Oryctolagus cuniculus: one gene and its partners. The protein of the gene in region 1 interacts with the protein of each later gene in a biochemical or structural test. Links are inferred from orthologs where the notes say so. Each region holds a gene or a part of one and is shown in the gene's direction. Other genes may lie near its edges. The genes, in order: PDGFRA, PDGFA, PDGFC and PDGFB.

The links.
Region 2: the proteins of PDGFRA (region 1) and PDGFA form a complex in vitro, tested with the Homo sapiens proteins (2 studies listed by BioGRID). The link is inferred for Oryctolagus cuniculus from reciprocal best matches to the Homo sapiens genes PDGFRA and PDGFA.
Region 3: the proteins of PDGFRA (region 1) and PDGFC form a complex in vitro, tested with the Homo sapiens proteins (2 studies listed by BioGRID and IntAct, with this or other methods). The link is inferred for Oryctolagus cuniculus from reciprocal best matches to the Homo sapiens genes PDGFRA and PDGFC.
Region 4: the proteins of PDGFRA (region 1) and PDGFB form a complex in vitro, tested with the Homo sapiens proteins (3 studies listed by BioGRID). The link is inferred for Oryctolagus cuniculus from reciprocal best matches to the Homo sapiens genes PDGFRA and PDGFB.

Annotation. Positions count from the first base shown.
Region 1 is NC_091439.1:109,931,772-109,936,691, reverse strand, and holds the start of PDGFRA (platelet-derived growth factor receptor alpha), read left to right. Parts: upstream 1-1,537; 5' UTR 1,538-1,653; intron 1,654-4,568; exon of another isoform or gene 4,569-4,861; intron 4,862-4,920. UniProt on the Homo sapiens protein: Tyrosine-protein kinase that acts as a cell-surface receptor for PDGFA, PDGFB and PDGFC and plays an essential role in the regulation of embryonic development, cell proliferation, survival and chemotaxis.
Region 2 is NC_091450.1:36,156,862-36,160,756, reverse strand, and holds the end of PDGFA (platelet-derived growth factor subunit A), read left to right. Parts: intron 1-1,440; coding exon 1,441-1,567; intron 1,568-1,656; coding exon of another isoform or gene 1,657-1,712; exon of another isoform or gene 1,713-1,725; intron 1,726-2,336; coding exon 2,337-2,446; intron 2,447-2,586; coding exon 2,587-2,592; coding exon of another isoform or gene 2,593-2,597; 3' UTR 2,598-3,063; downstream 3,064-3,895.
Region 3 is NC_091439.1:7,193,269-7,198,380, forward strand, and holds the start of PDGFC (platelet-derived growth factor C), read left to right. Parts: upstream 1-1,706; 5' UTR 1,707-2,191; coding exon 2,192-2,309; intron 2,310-5,112. UniProt on the Homo sapiens protein: Growth factor that plays an essential role in the regulation of embryonic development, cell proliferation, cell migration, survival and chemotaxis. Potent mitogen and chemoattractant for cells of mesenchymal origin.
Region 4 is NC_091442.1:115,564,450-115,569,668, reverse strand, and holds the start of PDGFB (platelet-derived growth factor subunit B), read left to right. Parts: upstream 1-1,726; 5' UTR 1,727-3,301; coding exon 3,302-3,364; intron 3,365-3,445; exon of another isoform or gene 3,446-3,968; intron 3,969-5,219. UniProt on the Homo sapiens protein: Growth factor that plays an essential role in the regulation of embryonic development, cell proliferation, cell migration, survival and chemotaxis. Potent mitogen for cells of mesenchymal origin.

The DNA of each region.
Region 1 (4,920 bases):
GCTATGACCATAGCTTGGACAACCTTATTGCCGAAATACTGTGCTTGCACCATGACTCCTAAAACACAAGTCCATCAGGTGTGCCTGGCTCCAGTGCACAGTGTAGGTAGCTCTCTAACCTCAACCACCTCTCATTGTGTGGGTTCAGACAGCAGCTGACTATTTGGAGACGGATTCTCAGGGTCTTCTCTGCCGACGGATTCTCTCCAGGATTTTCTTCTTTGTTTTGTATTTATTTACTTGAAAGGTAGTTACAAAGAGGCAGAGAGAGAGAGAGAGAGAGAGAGAGAGAGAGAGAAATAGAGATCTTACAGCTGCTGGTTCACTCCCCAAATGGTTGCAACAGCTGGGGCTGGATCAGACCAAAGCCAGGATCCCGGAACTCCATCCAGGTCTCCTATGTAGGTGGCAGGGGCCCAAATACTTGGGCCATCTTCTGCTGCCTTCCCAGGCGCGTTAGCAGGGCGCTGGATGGGAAGTGGAGCAGCTGGGACTAGAACCAGCACCCATATGGGTGCCAGCATTGTAGGTGGTGGCTTAACCCAGTGTGCCCCAACACCTGCCCTAGTGGCTTTTTCAAATGCTTCAAGCTAGAAGTATTTTGTTTCCTGATTGTGTTGTTCTTGGTTGTTCCTCAACATAGCACCAGCCCCTGTCCACACCAGGGACCCCATCTCCTGCCAGCGCAGTGCCTGCTGCTTCCCTCACTCCAGCCCACTCCCTCCTCTCTCTGATCACAGCACAAGGCCCCCTGCCTCCCAGAAGTCCCCTCTGCCCAGCCGCTCGCTCGCTCGCCTCCCGCTGACCTCAGGGGCTTGCTCACCTCCACAGGCTGCTCCCCAGCGTCACCCTCCTAGGCTCCCCAGGATGCGGCCTCCCCTGCAGGAAGCCTCCAGGGGCCTCCGATTGGTGCCCGCTCTCCTGTGCGCTGTGACATCACCGCGCACCTCCAGCCTCGCTGGAGCCCAGCACTGCCACTTGGCGTTCACTGACCGCTCACCCAGGCTTCGCCGCTGCAGAGCCCTGGGCAGCCGGCGCTCAGTGAGTCCTTCCGGCGTGAAATCCCAGTGCTCTGGGATGGTGATCGGGAGCCTGCCTCGCTGGCTTGCGATGTTCTCTGAGGACCTCCGTGGAGTGGGCCCGGGCCCACCTGACTGCGCGCGGCAGCGCCCCTCCGCCCAGTTCTTCCTTTCCCTCCACCGCGGGGCTCCGAGAGCACAAGGCCCCCTCTCCAGAGGCAGGCTGACCTCACCGGAGCCAGCCCTCCTCCCTCCCCAGCCACAGCTGCGTGCTGCAGAACGGGACGGCTGAGGCCCCTAATAAACTGCAGACCTCCCCATCGCCCTGCCCCCGCCTCCCGCACGCCGGCTTTCAAATTAAAAGCAACACAAACCCCAGGCCTAAGAAGGCGCTGGGAGGAAGGGGGACCATCGCATCTCTAAATCCAGGAAGCTGGGGTCCCCAAGAGCCCGCTCCGAGGGGCTCGCAGCCCGCCCCAGCCGCGCTGGACCACCGCGCAAGCTCGGGGCCTTGCACCCAGGGCAGCCTGCGGCGGCGTGAGGACCCCTGACACAGCCGCCCCTGGAAGGAGGGCCCCCAAGGAGCCCAAGGCAGACGCTGCACCCTCGGGCCTGGCTACCGCGGCAACTGGAGGTGAGCGACGCGCGCGCCCGAGACGGGGTGAACGCCCTCCAGGTCGCCCACGCCCCACTTGCGGGCCAAGCCTCGGGGCCCTGTGAACCCCGAACCCATGGACCCCTCTGCGGGGGCGGGCCCGAGCATAGGGGCTGGGGGCTCCGGAAGCTGCAGCCGGGAGGGCCAGGGGTGGGAGTGGGGCGGTCAGCGCCGCGCTCTCCCGCGAACCACCAAACGGCCCTTGCTTTTCAAATCCGGAGCCGAGACCTCCCCCATCCCGCCCCGCCCCCCATCCCCCCGCGCCGGCGTCCCTGGGGGTGGGGAAAGACAACTTCACAGGTTTGCTTCAATGCGGTTTTCCCCACTAACGGCCTGGCTTCAGAAGTCTCAGAGAGCAACGGGACATCGCGAATTCCAGGAGAAAAGACGGGATCGGGGTGGGGGTGGGGAGCAGATGCCCAGGCCCCCTCCGCGGGCCACGCCCCCGAGGCCCAGGCCCGGCCCGCGGGCGCTCCCCGCGGTCCTGGGCGCCGAGGGCTAGAGACCCGCGGGCAGCGCAGGGCGGGGCCGGGCCGGGCCGGAGTTGTTTTTTTGTTTACAAGGCCCAAGGCGGTCCGCTGCAAGAGGTTGGCGGGGCCCGCACTGCAGGCCGGGCTCCTCCACGGGGCCTCGCGTTAACCTTGCGTCCAGCCCGCCCGGACACGCCAGGCCAAGGCCAACGCCCGCGGCCCCACGCAGGCCCCTGCTCTGCTTTGGCGCGGGCAGCCTCATTCTTAACTCTTCCATGGACGCTCCAGAAAAGCGCCCAGGAGGTCGAAAGTCGCGATCCCCGCACGGGTGGGCGCAGGCGTGAACCCCCGCCCTGTCCCCCGTGGCTCGCCTCGGCCACAGCCCTGGTCAGGGAGACAAGACCCCGCAGCCCGCCCCGGCCAGGCCACACTTCCCGCCGGCTGCAGCCCGGAGACCACCCAGGGCCCTGGGCGTCGAGGGAGCCACGTGGAAGGAGCGTAGGGCGACCCCGGCCGCGCCGGAGCCGGGGCAGGGCGGATGGCGCGGTGCGGACCGGGCTGCGAGCGTGGGCGGGGCGCGCTGGCCTCGCCCCTCCACCCCCCACCCCCGCCGCCTGGCTGCGGGGACCTCCCGCCCGCCGCGGCGCCCGGCCACCGGGTTTATTTTGCTTTCCAGGGGGCGGCAGATGGCCAGCCCCTTCGGCCTCTGCTCCGTCCGTCCGCAGCGGGCGAAATCTGGCTCCGCCGCCCCCCGACCATTTGCCACCCTGCGCCGCCCCCCACCGGGGTGCTAGCCGCGCCGTCAGCGCCCCGGGCCTTTCAACCTGGGAGAATGTCACACATGGAAACCTTTAGCAGCCGTTTGTTAATGATCGCAACAAAGGCAGCGTTCAAATTAGGCAGGTAATCGCTACCAGAGGGTAGCCAAGGCTCGTCGGCGCATCCCTCTCGCCGCTGTCGGCTCCCGAGGAGCTGCGGCCCCGGGACGCCCCTCGGGGGTCCCCGCGAGCGGCTCCGGAGCGACCCGCGAGGTCGCCGTCTGCCGCCGAGCCCCTGAGGGGCGTCCCAGCGAGGCCGGGGTCTGAGGCCCCCGGTTGCTTTTTCTGGGGGGTGGGCGGGTAGCTAGCGGCCGTTCGTTTTCTACAAGCATTACGGTATCCTGTGCGCATTCCGAACAACGGGCTGTTCATATATCTGCCTGCCACGGCTTCCTGAAGGAACATGTGGAAGTAATAGCGAGCGAGCCGTGCAGTCACCCGGGCTGAGGACGCGCGAGAGGCGGGCGCGCGGAGGCCCCGGCCTGCCACCCTGCGCCCCTGGAAGCCCCGCTCGGCGAACCCCGCCTGTCCGCTGCCGACGAGCCCCTCCCGGGCACTGAGGTGTGGGCTGCTCGACGTGCGGGGAGCTGCTCGCCCGCCCGAGCCGTTTTGAGTGCGCGCGCGCGCGCGCGCGCGCCAGGGAGGATAAAGGCTGGCGCCCCCCGCCCGCCCGCGGCGAGAGAGCTGGGGAGGAGGGCGAGCCGGGGAGGGAACGCGCTCCCCTCCCCCACCGCGGCTCCGCAGCCCCGCTCCGCCCGGCTCCGGTTGCTGGAGCGCCAGCGCCCCCTTTCCCTCGCGCGCAGGATCGTCCCTTCCCGGCGCCGTCCCGGGCCTCGCGTCGGGCGGCGCTGGCTTAGGAGCCCCGCTGGCCACTCCGGGGGCACGGGCAGAGTCGGACGCACGCGGCGCGCGGGCTTGCCTAGACCACCGCCCCGACGTCCGGGCCGAAGCCCCCGGGCCCCTGGCCTCGCCCAGATAACCCCAAAACAAAGGCGCAACGAGATACGTGGCTGCGAGGGCGCAAAGGTCGCCCTGCGGAAGACCGTCCCCGGCGGACGACACAGACCCTCCATTCTCTGGACCCCACTTCAGACTCCACCCAGCCTTTGAAAAACCCATCATCCTCCCATCCGACTCGGCAGTTTGCCTAATCCCATTAAGGGATTAGCAGCTCCTCCGCACTTTCCGTCAAAGACCTCCAGCCCAAAACGGCACGGCCACTCGGAGACCGCTCCCGAGGGTCCCGTTTCGAGCTGGGCCAGGAGCCTAGTACGAAAGGGACATCTCTCACTCCAGATTTATATTCTCTCTGGGCGCGGACTCGGAGTTTTATGTGTTCCTGTTGTTCTTTTCAAAGAGAATACAAAACTATTTGCAGCGCCAGAAAACAGACCCCGGGTTGCGAGGCAAAGTGGCTCTGGTGATGCTGGGGCTCTCTGCAGGCTCACGAACCCTCTTTCCCGGCAGAACGGCGACACCTCCCCCCTGACGCCACCCCCACCCCATCTGGCCCGCTTCCCCGCCCCCTCCCCTCCCCAGTTGTTGTCGAAATCGGGGGTTGGGACTGGACCCCCTGATTGCGTAAGAGCAAAAGGCGAGGGCGCCGCGCGGAGATGCAGAGACTCAGAGCGCAGGGAGCTCCGGGGAAACTTTTATTTTGAAGAGGCCAAGGGGGGGGGCTTCATTTCCTGACAGCTATTTACTTAGAGCAAATGATTAGTTTTAGAAGGATGGACTATAACATTGAATCAATTACAAAACGCGGTTTCTGAGCTCATTACGCTGGGAGCGAGCGGCGCAGAAACAGAGGCGGCGACAGCGGGCGCAGAGCGCAGGCCGTGGACTCACTTTTTACCCCATGTGTAGGATTTTCATTGTGGAGTGACATCGGAGGAGAAGGTAAGGGAGAGAAAAGGGATTTTTGTTCCACAGGGAAGTCCCTGATCGCACGCTGGGGT
Region 2 (3,895 bases), on another chromosome or scaffold:
GTCTCCGCTCCCCCTGGTGTGTGGGTGGCCGGATGCAGGCAGGGTTAGCGGTGGGGGGCCGCCACTGGCGCAGGCCGCCCGAGGGCTGGGAGGGACGGGGAGGTCGGGGCGCAGCGGGCAGCCTGGGTCTGGGGGTCCCCGGCACCAGCCGCCTGTCTTGGGGACCCGGCCTTCCTGGAGCAGATTCTCAGGACTGCTCTTGGGGGAAAAATGCGGCCGCTTCCTGGCCAGACGGCCGCTGGAATCCCACGAGGCCCGGCAGGTGCAGTCGTAAATCGCTGTTTGTTTACCTTTGATAAACGGGGCTGTCTGGAGAGCAGGTTCCCAGACTGGGCGGCCCGAGGGTGCCCCAGCCAAGGGCACCGCGGGTGGCAGTGCCCAGCGGTCCTGGGAGCCCCCTCCCTCTGCCGCCCCCCTCTATGGGCGGAGGACGGGCCAGGGAGCCCAGGGCGCCCCGCCGAGGGACGGGAGAGGCCGCTGTTAACTGCCTGTGGACACAGAGGTCGGCGCCCCCGGCCCCAGCAGGTTGAGAGGAGGTTGAGAGGAGGGAGCCTAGGTGCTCAGCAGGGGCTGGTCGCCCCCTCCAGTCCCCCTGCCAGGGCTGTGGTCAGCACCCCCAGAAGAGGTGAGGGGGCTTCCTGATGGACGGAGGCTGGGGGTGGCTGGGGCAGGGCCGGCTTGCAGGAGCCCTGGGGGCCCAGGCTTGGCCTGTCCTAGCAGCCTGGTGCTGAGTGCGGCCCTGCCCCCACCCCGCAGGTGTGCGCCCCTTTGCTGGGTGGGGGGGGGCTGGGGCCGGCCTCTGCGAGCAGCAGGTGCCTGTCCAGGCAGCGGCTCCTGGGTCCGGGGGCCGGCCTCTCGCCCGAGTCCTGCGTAGTGAAGCTGCGTGCCGGCCCCCGGCCCCGCGCCCCACACACCCTGGGCCCATCCCCGGGCTCTGTGCTCGCCCGGGCGGCCCACACCGCTCCGCACGCCTGCCGGGCGCGCGGCACCCTTTGCCCTGCGGGTTAACCATTACTGCGGCTGCGGGGGGCCTGCCCAGGCCTGCTCCCCGGCTCTGGGGGCTGACCCTGCCCGAGGGTCGCGGGGAGCCCAGGGCTGCGGGGTCGGCGTCCCCTGCGAGTGACCGGGGAAGGGGCCTGGCCGGGCCTCGGGTTCCTTGGGGGCCTGGGACAGCTGCTCCTCGCCCACCCCCAGGCACGTGTGTGCACGTGGGGCGGGTAGGGCGTCCCATGACGGAGCGTGTGCGTGTGGCTGATGGCGGGTTCTCGGGTCACGGGTTGGCCATGCGCACGCGCGGGCGCTCCAGAAGCTTCCCTGTGGAGTGCGCGTGCGCGGCCGGCTTCGACGTGGGCCGCGGGTGGCCGGGGTCAGGGGGCGGGGCCGCGTGACGCACTTCCGGCGCGCGGGCGCTCATGGCCGTGGCGGCGCTCTCTCGGGCAGGTGGCCAAGGTGGAGTATGTCAGAAAGAAGCCCAAGTTGAAAGAAGTGCAGGTGCGGCTGGAGGAGCACCTGGAGTGCGCGTGCGCGGCCTCGAGCGCGGGCCCGGAGCACCGCGAGGAGGAGGCAGGTAAGCGGCGCGGGCGGGCCGGGCGGCGCGGGCGGGCGGCCGTGCGTGGCGCCCTGAGGCCGCTCTCCTGCCCGCCCTCTCGCCAACAGGAAGGCGTAGGGAGTCAGGTAAAAAACGGAAAAGAAAGAGGTTAAAGCCCACCTAAGGCGGCCGAGCAGGTAGGACGCCCGCGCCCGCGGGGCTCTGGTCGCGCCCGCCAATCGGCCTGGTCGGGCTGTGCTGTCGCTGGGCTGCGGTGTCCCCGCTCCGGTGCCGCCGCTGCTGCTCCTGCTGCTGCTCCTCCTCCTCCTCCTCCTCGCCGATGATCGGGGCGCTGCGGGGTTCGGGCAGCTCTGGGGGTCGTGCGGGGGTCGCCGCGGGCAGGCTGCCCACCCCATTTGACAGATGAACAAACTGAGGCTGGACCGAGCGAGAGGTGACCCGTGGGGGCCGAGCAGGGCCGGCGGCCCCGGGCCCTGGGCTAGGAGGAGACAGGCCGACCCCGCCCAGCGAGGGCTTCCCCACAGGACACCCCCTTCCCCGACCCGGAGGGAGCCGGCCAGTGCAACCCAGGTGTCTGCCTGGGCCGGGGCCCGCGGGGCGCACGGCCTGGGTCTGTCCCCGAGGACAGCGGGAGAAGAGTGTCCACTCGTGGCCCTGTGGGAGGTCTCAGGCTGAGGGCGGAGGCCCCTCGGTACCCGGGCTTCAGGCCGTGGGTGCTGCACCCGCTGGGCTGTGTGGTTGAGGAGGGGGTCCCCACAGAGCTCAGCGAGGCTCTGCCTGGTCACAGGGACCCTCCTGCCCGCGCCTGGTGGCGTCCATCCTCAGGGTTGCCTCAGAGCCCACGATGGCTGCCAGAGCTCCAGAAATCACATGCAAGCCCTGGGCTGGAAGAAGAAGGTAGGGGGCAGGGCGGAAGACCCCCTCCTGGGCCTCAGTTTCCCCCATCTGTGCAATGGGCGTCCGGACGCTGCACCGCGGCCGCCGTGTCGGCGACTTCCCGGCCGCGGCCCTCAGCCCGCCTCTCCCTCTCCCCGCAGATGTGAGGTGAGGGCCCCGGCGCCTCCTGGGACACGGATGTGCGTGGCGTGTTACATTCCTGACCTGCTCTGTACGGTGCTTCCTTGCCAGCGTGCCGTCTTTGTTCTCCTCCGTGGAACACCGCCCGAGGACACTCGGGGGAACAAAGAGACAGTGACCGCGTCCACGCGGGCAGCGGGCAGCCTCCCGGCAGAGCGCGGGGCAGACGGACCGCGGGCGGGGCCCCAGGTGCTTTAGCCGCCGCCGCGGGGCCGGGGAGCCGCGTGTGTCGACACAGACCCCTCCTGAGAGCCTTAAGTGGATTTTTTACACCATCGAGTGGTCGTCAGCCCCCTTTCTACTCGCTCTCCTCTCGTTTCCGTTTGTAACGACGCCGGTGGCACGCGAGGCTGCTGTGGCTGGGACGGCGCCCTCCGTCGGACGCAGACTAACGAGATGTATTAAATAAACGTGCTACACCCGCCTATGCACCATTCCCCGCCCGCGTCCGGCCTGCTGTGTGCCCGCCCGCGCCCCGCCCGCACCGCGAGCCCCGGCCCGGGAGCCAGCGGTGGACGGCGCGGGGGCCTGCCCGGGGGCACAGAGCGCGCCCTCCGTCTCCTGGCCGTGGGCGATCCTGTCCCCACGTGGGCTTGCCGGGCGGCGGCCGCCGTCCGGTGAGGCAGGCAGCAGCCCGGGACCGTGGAGACCCCTAGGATCTGACCCTGTGCCGCTCGGAGCCTCGTCCGTCACAGAAGAGTGGGGCCGGCTGGGTCCCTGGCTCCCGCACCTCGGCGGATGTAGACACTGGAGGGACGCGGCGCCCGGCCCTGCTGTCTGCGCCGGCGGCGCCCGCCGAGGCCGGCTCGCACCAGCCCTGACCGCCCCGCCCCGCCCCGCTCCTTTAGTGAGCCAAGCGCCTGTGCAGGGCTCCGTCCGCGCACCTGTTTGTGCTGTGTGGGTGAGGGGGGCCTGCCAGCCGGGGCGCCCACAGAGCAGGTTGGTCCGCGGCTGGACTGGCCTCAGCTGCTGCCCCCGGGCCTGCGACCCTCCCGCCTCCTCCCACGGCTCTGCGGTCGCCCCTGGGCCTCCCGTCTGCACCCCAGCGCCTGGGTCTGCCGAGTGGGCGTGGGGAGGGGCAGGGTGGCCTCCCAGCCTGTGCCCCACTCCTGGGCCCGGGCGAGCTGACCCCCGCCTGCAGGGCCCGTGGCTGTGCCTCTGCCCACCTGGCCGCCCTCCCCAGTCCTGCCCTTGCTGCTCCTCGGCGAGGGCCCGGGCCTGGAGAGCCGCCGACCCCTGCAGCGCCGGCTTTGGCTGACGTCTGCCCCG
Region 3 (5,112 bases), about 100 Mb from region 1:
CCTAGTTTGGTCTGGTGGGCATATGTCTCTCACCAGACGCTACTCCTTGGTCTGAGGGACACTGTTCTCTTGATCCTCTCGCCCAGCCTGAGTGTCCCTGGCCACCGAACTGGCATGGTCTGCACCGAATTGCCCACCAACACGGTGGGAGATAATTCTGACTTGCCTGCCACTGAACTTGCTTGACAATGATTTTTCCTTTTGAATTTTGATTTTTAAAAATTATTCCAAACGTGTCTCTTTTATTTTGGGGGAAGGGGGCGCTTGTCCCTTCAACACTTTCCTAAGGATTTCTGCTCCTCCCAGGAGCCGCCACGGACTCCTGCATTAAACGTGGAACCCCTATATAGGCCCTGCTGACCTGGTTTTAGACAACCTCCTAAGAGCTTTCGCACCCCAGAAACCTGCCTGGGACACGTGCAACAGGCGGACCTAGGTGCTAACCCCTCTTGTTGGAGAGGTAAACAATTCTACCGCCAGGGGTTCCTGACAGCCTAGTTTTCTGAGAGGCTGCATTTTAGGAATGACAAACACTGAGGCCTGGGTGGTTCTAGACATCCTCTTGGCCATAATCCAAGGCTGTCCGACCAGCATGCCCGCTTCCCAGGCGCAGGGATTTTTGCCTGTTGTGGCTGCTACCGCGCCAGCTCCTGCAGCAGTGCGTGGCACAGCGGGCACACAGTGAGCACGGTGGTACTATTTGTTGACTGCATGCGATCATTTTGACTGTCTTCATCTTGCTTCAGGGACCTGTTAGGTTGCAGGGAAGTCTTTGACCTCAATCTCCCTTGTGGCTTCAGAGCGGAGACTCTGGCCAAGCCCTCTGGGAGAGGGGATCCCCTCGGAAATGAACCAGGACCCGTCGCGGCTCCAGGCAGTAGGGGTGGAATGCGAGTTGCAGGAAGTTCTCGCCCCAATCCTGGTCCTGGTCTTGCTTCTGCTCTGGGGTTAGGGGCGTCCTTGCGGCATTCCCCAGCGGGGGTCCTTCCGGGTCCCCTAGCGCCGGCCTGGGCCGGGCCGTGCCAGCACCTGTCGGACCGCCAGCTGGAGGCCCGCGCCGGCGCTGGGGGACGCGGTCCGGGCTGCGCCCCCCGCAGGCTGCCGCCCCGCGCCCGCCCCCCACGGCCGCCCGCGGGAGAGCGGCTCGGCCTCGCGCCGCCCGCGCCGGGCCCACGGCCCCCACCTCCCGCCCGCCGCCCGGCTGGGGGAAGGCAGCGAAGGGGAGGGGACAAGCCGGAGCCTCCCGGCCGCCCGGGCCTTTCCTCTCCACGCCGTGCGGAGACGCCGCGCCCGCCGCGCCCCGAGCTTAGCGCCGAGCCCGAGGCGTAGGGGGAGGGGGCGGCGAGCGAGCGCAGCCCCCCGCGGTGACCCCGAGCGGCCGAGCCGCCCTCCCAGGGCTTCGAGGAGCCGGGGACGCGCCCGGACAAGGTGAACTTTGGAAAAAAAAACACTCAAGCCAGGTGCCGGGATTCGTGCTGCGGCGGTCGGGACCCGGCGCAGGCGGCGCGCCCGCGCGCGGAGCGGGAGCCCCCCGCGGCCTCCCCTCCGCCTGCGCCCGGGGCGGCCTCGACCCCGAGCCCCCAGCCCCGCTCCGGCGCCGCGGCGCGCGTGGGGACCCGCCGCGGCGCCCTCGCCTGGAGTCTTCCCCCTCCCCCCGCCGGGGGTGGGGGTGGGGCGGGGGAGAGGGGCGCCCGCGGCGCCGCATCGATCGGCAGCTTTGTTATCGATCCGAAACTGCTGGCCGCGGACTTGGCTGGGAGGCCGGCTCCGCACGAGCCCGGAGGGGTCGCCTGCGTCGCGGCCCCCGCACTGACAGGTGCTCCCAGCGACTCGCTGGTGACTCCTCGCCGCTCCCCCGGCTCCCCCGCGTCCCCACCCCCCTCTTTCCTCCCTCGCCTTCACCCCCACCCCCACCACTTCGGCACAGCTCAGGATTTGTTTAAACCTTGGGAAACTGGTTCAGGTCCAGGTTTTGCTTTGATCCTTTTCAAAAAACTGGAGACACAGAAGAGGGCTCTAGGAAAAAGTTTTGGATGGGATTATGTGGAAACTACCCTGCGATTCTCTGCTGCCAGAGCAGGCGCGGCGCTTCCACCCCAGTGCAGCCTTCCCCTGGCGGCGGTGAGAGAGACTCGGGAGTCGCTGCTTGCCCTGTGCCCGCCGTGCGTGAGCGCTCGCCCCACTCAGCCAAATGCTCCTCTTCGGGCTTTTCCTGCTGACATCTGCCCTGGCCGGCCAGAGACCCGGGACTCAGGCTGAGTCCAACCTCAGTAGTAAATTCCAGTTCTCCAGCAACAAGGAGCAGAACGGTGAGTCGGGGCCCCCCCACCGTGCGCCTTGCCTGCGCTCGCCGTGTGCGTTACGTGGGCACCGCGCGCGGGCGCGAGAGGGACCCCAGCCCGCCAGGGTGCCCTCTCGCCTCGCGCGGCCGGCCCTTGGCGCGGGCTCGCGGGAGGTGGGTTAACGTGTGCTTGGCAACTTTTCTGGGGCTGCCACCCAGCTGCAGCGGGGGCAGCGTGCGTGCCCCTGCAGCCCCGGAGAGGGGGCCTTTCCGGGAGCGGTGGCGGAACGCGCGTGGCGGCTCCGGCTCACGGCACGAGATCGAGAGCTGCCTTTAAAAACGAAGTTGAAATGAATGAGTCTTGGCCCGTTGGACTTGACTCAAGGTTTTGGGGGCTGTGGGAGGTGCGAGGGGGGCTTAGATGGAAAGGCATCAATGAATCAGTAAGTAGGTAGGAGGTACGGCAGTCGAGAGACCTTGATGCGCACCTTTTAGGGCAGATTTAAAAAAGTACTTCTGTTGCGCTCCCAAGTTTTTCTTTCTCTCTTTTTCTTTTTTTCTTTCTTTTCTTCTCTCTCTCTCTCTTTTTTAACGTGCCTTGCCTTTGTACTCTGAAGTCTTACCTTTCTGGTGGTGTGTTTTTGTATGTGTAAGTGAATGACTGCTATTTTGTGTGTGCTGGAAACGACTTAATCCTGCATAGGAAATGAGAATTACTTTCAGCTTTCAAGTGTACCTGAAATGTTTAGAAAACTCTCAGATGCAAGTTCCCTTGGGCTGGGATTGCACGGAGCTGGAGAAAGGCTCCTTTCATACCGCCGGGGCAGCTCCAGGGTGTGTAATTTGCTTAGCCTCTGAACCCCATATGATTTACATCATTCAATTTCTAAACTCTTTTTCTCTTGATCTGCCATTATGAAGTCATTTTTGAGTAGACTTTGTAAATAGAAATTTTATACTGCACATGAAACCACAATGTTAATGTAGGCTGTCTAAAACTGGAATATTAAACACCCTGTTTACAAGTGGTGGCTCTTACTGTTATTTGAAAAGAAATGTGCATGTTTTTCTGCTTTGTGTGTCATCTGTTCAGAATGCGGGGAGGCTGTCACGGCACTAACCAGGAGAAATAAACAGAAGGGGTGTACCTGGAACCTCAAAAGGGGGTGTGCTGTACCTCTCGGTCCTGTTTCCTTCCCATGGTGGGGCTATTTCAAAGTTCCAGAGAGTGCTCTTCATAAAAGCAGCACAGAAAGTACTAGGGTAGGAAAAGAGATAAAAGAAGGGTTCCTGGGAGTTTACAGACATTGTTTGTGTTTGTTGCTCCGGCAGCGAGACATGGCATCACTTTTATCAGTCAATATTAATGTGGCTGCTTCTTGCAACTTGCTAATGTGATGGCACATGGCACCTGCAGGCCCCTTGAGCTGCTGATCAAAGGGCAGCCCAGGATCCATCTCTAATCACAGGAGCTGCAGAGCACTGGGGGAAAGTGATCAAAGGAGCCAAGCACCAGCTGTACCCAGGCAGGAAACACATCAGACCAACCTTTGTTCTAACTCTTATAAAATAAACGTCCAGTTCAAAATATGCCTTCTTGCTAGACAAGCCTGTCTAGAATGACCATAATGCACAATATTCCTAGCTTCTATAATTTTTTTCCTTTTTTTTTTTATTGTCCCCTACCATTTCTCCTACTGCCTTGTGGCATCTCTCTGTGGCAGCCTGTCTCTTTGTCCCTTCCTTGTGGCTCTCTTTTGTGACCCACGTGCTAGCCTTGCTTTGTAATGGGCCCCAGAGCTTTCAGGCCACGTGCAACCATTGGCCACTTTACTCAGTAAGTTCACACCCTCAGTAGAGGTGAGTTCATTAAGCCAGGCCACACACATTCTCTTGCCATCTGAGGCTGGGCCATTTCCATTCCTAAGATGCATGGTGCTAAAAATAGCCTGGTGTTTCCTAATCTGTGGGCAGAGAGAGGATTGGGCTATGTTTAGCTCTTGGGAGGGTTGGCAGCAGGAAGTAGCTAGAAGTAGAGGAACCACTCACCTTGTAGTTTGTAGCCTAAGGAGCAGTGGGACTGACCAGCACTAGGGGGCAACATAGAGCTATTTTTCTGCACATGCTCAGGTTGATTGCAATGTTTCTTCAAGGTTCAAGATTTGAGGATAACAGGTGGGTGCTGAAGATCCTCATGGAATGTGACTGTGGTCGTTCCCAGTAGTTTGCTGGAAATGCTACTACTGCTACTTCTTTTTTTGACCTTCACAATTTCCATTCCCTTATATGGGTATGTTTGGCCCTCATATTATGTTATGGTTGATTTGATTGCCATGTTGCTCCGTCAGTTTTGACATTTATGCAGTTCTCTAAGGACGAATCTTTCCCGAGGGATTCGCTAGAAGATGGCTCGTTTTGTGAAAGCTCTTCTAAGTACTAAACATGACGTGGCCACGTGTCTGTTGTGCTGAGAGGAGCCTGCTTTTAAGACCCCTGGCCCATGATACTCCTCTTCTTGAGGGTTTCCCAGCCTCCACCAGAGTTTACTCGGTCAGGCCTGCAGACTTGCTGTTTCTTGTTTCAATATTAGCTTAGTGTCCCGAGAGGTGTTACAAATGGAAATTGATTGCTATGGCCTTGCCATGGCCAGTGGTACATTCATGGATTTAGTCTGGAACACAGGGAGAGAAGATACAGAATGAGCTTCAGTGTCCTTTACCTGTTGCTAGGTACAGTTTTGTGATCCACTATAGCATCGCCATTCTTGCCATTTTTCTGTAACAATAGCCGAATTTAGCCTTATTATTTATCCAGTATTGTGAGTTGCTTTT
Region 4 (5,219 bases), on another chromosome or scaffold:
CCCGCCGGGACCCACAGGCAGACACAGGCAAGGCACTGACTCATGGGCAGACATTCAGTGAGCAACAACTGAACGCTGGGAGCTGGGGCGAGGCCCCTGCTCACCCTGAACTCCAGTCTAGTACTTGGCTGATACACCAGGCAAAGACCAGAGCAAGCAGCAAGCCTGGCGAGCTTCCTGGAGGAGGGGCCCGTGCACAGACACATCTGGACTACAACGATTTGTGTGTCTGCATCACTCAAGGCCGTAGGACATGTCTGAGCAGCAGGCTGGGGTCCCTTCCTCCAGGCAGCACCCCTGCTGTGCACCCCTGAGGCCGAGGACAGATGCTCAGCCGCACGGCATTTTCCCATGGATGTGTTCAAGGCCCACAATGTGGCCTCGTGGTCATCCTGCCGGGCAAGAGCACGGCACGTGGGCTCTGTGGCTGCACTGCTTGGGTTCGAGTCCCGGCCGCGTGACCCCTGCGCTCCCACTCCCCACCAGGAGACAGCAGCCCCCTATCTCACAGGAGCTGTGAGGCCGCCACGGCTCGGTGCTAACAACGGCAGCCACTCTGGTGCCACTTTCAGGTAAGGACGCAGGAGGTCAAGGTCGCTCAGCTGGCTGGTGGACCGGCTTCCGTCTCAAAGTCTTCGAACCCAGTGCTTCGGGAGCTGGCCGCCCATCCTCCCACTCACCTTCCTTGCCCTCCTGCCTCTGTCCGGCCGAGCCACGGGCCTCTCCGAGCCCCACGGCTGGTTTGCTCGTGTGCCTGCAGCAGTGCCTGGCCCCTGGCGAGCGCCGCGAAGCTGCGTTGACAGCCTTGTCCCAGTTCCTGCACGGGACCCCTGCACGCGTGATCTCACGGGAGCCGCCGACCCCTCCACGAGGCGGCCAAACCATTCGTGGACAACGTGTGTCGAGGTGTGGCAAGCTGCACCTGTCGGTTCTCACGTGGGACTCCACCACGCAACCCCAGGGGACCAACACTCCCCGTCCCGCCAAGCGGCCCCTGGCGTCTCCGCCATCCCTCCCATTATATAAGCGTCTCGGATTACACGGGAGGAAATCGGGGTCCTCCCAGGTTAAACAGCCGGCCCAGGACACCTGCTCAGCTAAGTGGCCACTCCAGGCTGGGAACCACCACAGCGACCTGCCCCAGGCTGCGTCTCGGCCACCGTGACACCCGTGTGGCTCCGGGGTGGGTGCCTGCCCTCCTCCGGTCCCAAGAAAGCGGCTCACGAAGAGACAGGCCGTGCACGTGTGAGGCGCTGGCTGCCACCCCAAAGAGGCAATGTTTGGGTACAGATGGCAGACAGAGACAGCAGCAGCAGACAACCTAGAGGTGCCCTGGCGTCACGAGACAGCAGGGCGCAGTGAGCCTGCGGGCCCCGCGGTGGGTGCTGGGCTCGGCGTGTGCGCGTGTGACTCCGTGACTGTGACAGTGTGGCTGCGAAGGCAGGGACATAGCAGCTCCCCAAGCTGGGGGCGGGAGGCGTTAACTGCGTGCATGCTGGTGTGGGCGCATGGGCCCCCCGGCCGGGCACCCCGGGGAGCCGAGGGAGGTGGTACACAGGGTGACAGGAGGCGCGGGATGGCGGTCCCGCGGGATGCTGCAGGCGTGTGGGGGTTTGTGTGACTTTGCAGTTCAACACACTCGGATGCAGCCAACGCTGGCACGGCCGCTCGTGTGCCAGGCAACCAGCTGGGAGGAGGGAACAGAGGCCCAGCCTGCAGCTGAATGGTGCTGGCTGCCGCGGCGTTGGTGTGTTCACCTTGTGGCTGCCTCCTGGCTGGCTGTTTTTTTGCCCTTTCCAGCATTTAATCCTCACAACAAGCCTATCCGCCCCCACCCCCGCCGCCGCCACTTTGAGCACAGGAGGGAAGTGACTGGTCCAAGGTGACCCAGCCTGGGACCCAGGGGAGGGTCTCTGAAGGCAAGCCACAAGCCACGGAGCTGGAGTCCCGTGCGGCCAGCACGCCTGCGCCGCCGGCGTGCCAACCGCTAGTCCTTAGGCGGGGCGGGGGCTTCGACTCCTGGCCCTGGCCCTGGAGACATCCCACCCCCAACAACCACGTGGGTCCCTAACCTGTCCTTGGTGGCCAGCCCGAGGGGCGGGGCGCGTGGGCTCCCCTAGTTCTGTCCGGGGGCCAGAGTCAAGGGCGGAGGGGCTCCCGCTCTCTCGGAGACCCCCGCGAGCCCGGCCGCGCCCCAGGCCCTCCCGAGCTCCCGCCCCCCCTCGCCGCGCTGACTCCCGGCCAGAAGAGGAAAGGCTGTCTCCACCCACCTCTCGCACTCTTCTCCTCTATAAAGGCCGGAACAGCTGAAAGGGTGGCAACTTCTCCTGCAGCCGGGAGCGCCCGCCTGCCTCCCCGCCGCCTCCCCGAGGGCTCCCCTCCGGCCGCCAGCGCCCATCTTTCCCCTCCGAGGTAGAGGGATTTTGCGCCCACACCGGCACACAGGCGCGCAAAAAGGAGAAAAAAAAAAAAGAAAAAAAAAGGGCCCACCTTCCAGCCTCGTTGTAAAGAGAAGCCGGAGCAGCCGCAGCTCGCACGCAGAGGACGCCCGGAGCCGGGAGCAGGCAGCCGGCGGGCACACGGACCGACGGACTCGCGCCGCGTCCACCTGTCGACCGGGCCGCGCCGAGCGCGCAGCGGGCACGCCGCGCGCGCGTTGCCGCCGTGCCCGCCGCCCGGGCCCCGCGCCAGGGCGCACACGCTCCCGCCCCCCCTCCCCCCCTCCCCGCCCCGGCCCGGGCGGGAGTTTGCACCTCTCCCGGCCTGGGTGCTCCGGCCGCCGCTGCAAAGCCAACTTTGGAAAAAGTTTTTTCGGGGAGACTCGGGCTTTGAGGTGCCGGGCCCTGCGCTTTCCGATTTGGGCGACCTCTCCAGAAGATGTTGCAAAAAAGCTAGGCCGGCGGGCAGAGGAAAACGCCTGTAGCCGGCGAGGGAAGACGAACCATCGAGTGCCGCGTTCCTTCTCTAGGAGGTTGGAGTCCCCGGGGCGCCCCCACACGGCTAGACGCCTCGGCTCGGATCGCGACGCAGCCCCCCGGCCGTGGATGCTCGCGCGGGCTCGGGATCCGCCCAGGTAGCGGCCTCGGACCCAGGTCCCGCGCCCAGGTCCTCCCCAGCCCCCCAGCGACGGAGCCCGGGGGCCATGCGGGTGAGCGGCGGCGGCGGCTGCAGCGGCCTGAGCGCCTGATCGCCGCGGACGGGAGCCGAGCCCACCCCCCTCCCCAGCCCCCAACCCTGGCCGCGGGGGCGGCGCGCTCGGTCTACGCGTCCGGGGCCCCGCGGGGCCGGGCCGGGAGTCGGCATGAATCGCTGCTGGGCGCTCTTTCTGTCTCTCTGCTGCTACCTGCGTCTGGCCAGCGCCGAGGTGAGTTGCGACGGCAGCTGCGGCTGGTTCTCTCCATTCATTGCCCCCACCCCCACTCCTGGCCGCCCCTCCCCTCCCTGCAGTGAACTTTGGACCCTAGCAGCAGGGCGAGCCCGCTGACCTCGGAGGGCTGGGGCCGCAGGTCTGGAGGTGCCGGGCTCCAAGGCGAAGGGCGCAAGGGCGGCTTTCTTTCCCACGGGCGTAGACCCTGCGCCTTAGGGCGCCTGGGGAGGGTGTGTGTGGCCGTGCCCCACCCCCACCCCGCCCCACCGCTCAGGTTCCTGCAAGCGAGCCCTCGCCCGCCGAGGGGAGAGGGGTGGGGTGCCGCCGAGGGGTGCGGAAGGCTGCGCGCCCTTCCCAGCCACTTGGGCCTCAGCCTCGCTTCGGCTCGGACCGGCACCCGGCCGGCCCAGGAGGCGCGAGCTAGCGCCCCCCGTGGCGTCCAGCCGCCCCTGGGCGAGGGTTCGGGTCCCGCCCTGGCCCCAGCTCTGGGTCAGGGTGGGCGTCCGCAGGCAGGCGCAGGGCATGCTTGGCCCCAGAGCTCCGTCCCGGCGGAGAGGGTTGTGTCCTGGGTGACGGGGACCGGAGAGACAGACAGACACGAGTAGGTTCGGGGCACTGGGGCGCTGCGGGTAGGGGAAGGACCGGGGACGCTCAAGGAATCCAGCCCCGGGGCGGCGCGTGCCTGAGGCCCCGCCATACCTGCGCCCGCGCCCTGCCAGAGGAAGCACCTCTCTCCCCCGCAGGCAGGGTGCGGAGCGCGCCGCCCGCAGAAGCCTGGCTGCAGGGGAGGGGGTGTACGCACGTCTGCGCGAGCCGCCGGTCGGATCGGCCCCCGCCCCCACCCCCTCCCCCAGGCTCACGTAGCCGTGAGTTGGCAAGTCTGCCCCGAATCCAGGTGGGAAAGGGGGCGGGGCAGGCTGCAGGCTCGAGGTGGAGCGGGAGGGGCGGCGGGCCGCGCGGCGGGCCGGGGTCCCGTCCCGCCTCCGCACCTCGCCGGCTGCGGGGGAGGACCGGCCGCGCGGGCCTCCCGAGAGGCGCAGGGAGGCGGCGGCAGCGGCGGCGAAGGGGTTAAGGCGGAGGGCTCCGAGGCCGCGGCCGGGCCTTGGGCCGCCGCCAGCGCAGGTTGTTTTGACCACGGAGGAGCCGTCTCCTTTTGTTCTCGGGGCTCCTCGAGGGCCGCCGGCCGCCCGCCCGGGGGCCCCGCCCTTCCGCGGCCGCCCCCCGCGGCCCGCACCCGGGAAGGAGGACGCGGGACTCGGCCTGGCCGCCTGCAGGCCCCTCCCGACACCCCCTCCCCGCCTCTCCCGCAGCCCCCCGGGCCGCGGCCAGCTGTTGGGGAGGGGGGCGCCGGCCGGCCCCAGCTGCCGCCTCGCTTCGCCGCGGGACCTGGGGGCTGGGCCCGGTGCCAGGGCGTCCTGGGAACGGCGGCGCCCCGCGGCTGCTCGCCGCAGCCCACCCCGCCCGGCCCCCCGACTCGCTCACTCACCCCACGCATGCACACTCCTGGCCGGAGGCGATGCTGCGCTCCGGCAGGCGGGCGCGCCGAGCGACGGGCACGCACTACCGCGGCCAGGTCGCGCGCCCGCCGCCGCCACGCCCGTGCACACGCGGGCCACACGCGCGCGCACCGCACCCAAAACGCACGCACGGCCCCAGCACACGCGCCCCGAGCACACGTGCGCGCACACCCACGCACGTACACAGGCACGCAAGGCCCTGTGCACCCGGCACCGGGCCCGCCCTGCGCAACAGGTGGGCTCGCCGTGGCCGCCGCCTGCAGCCATCGGTCTCCGCTCCACAGCGCGCTTTTTTTGGTGGTTGTTGTTTTTGGGTGTTTGCCTGCTCTGCCGTT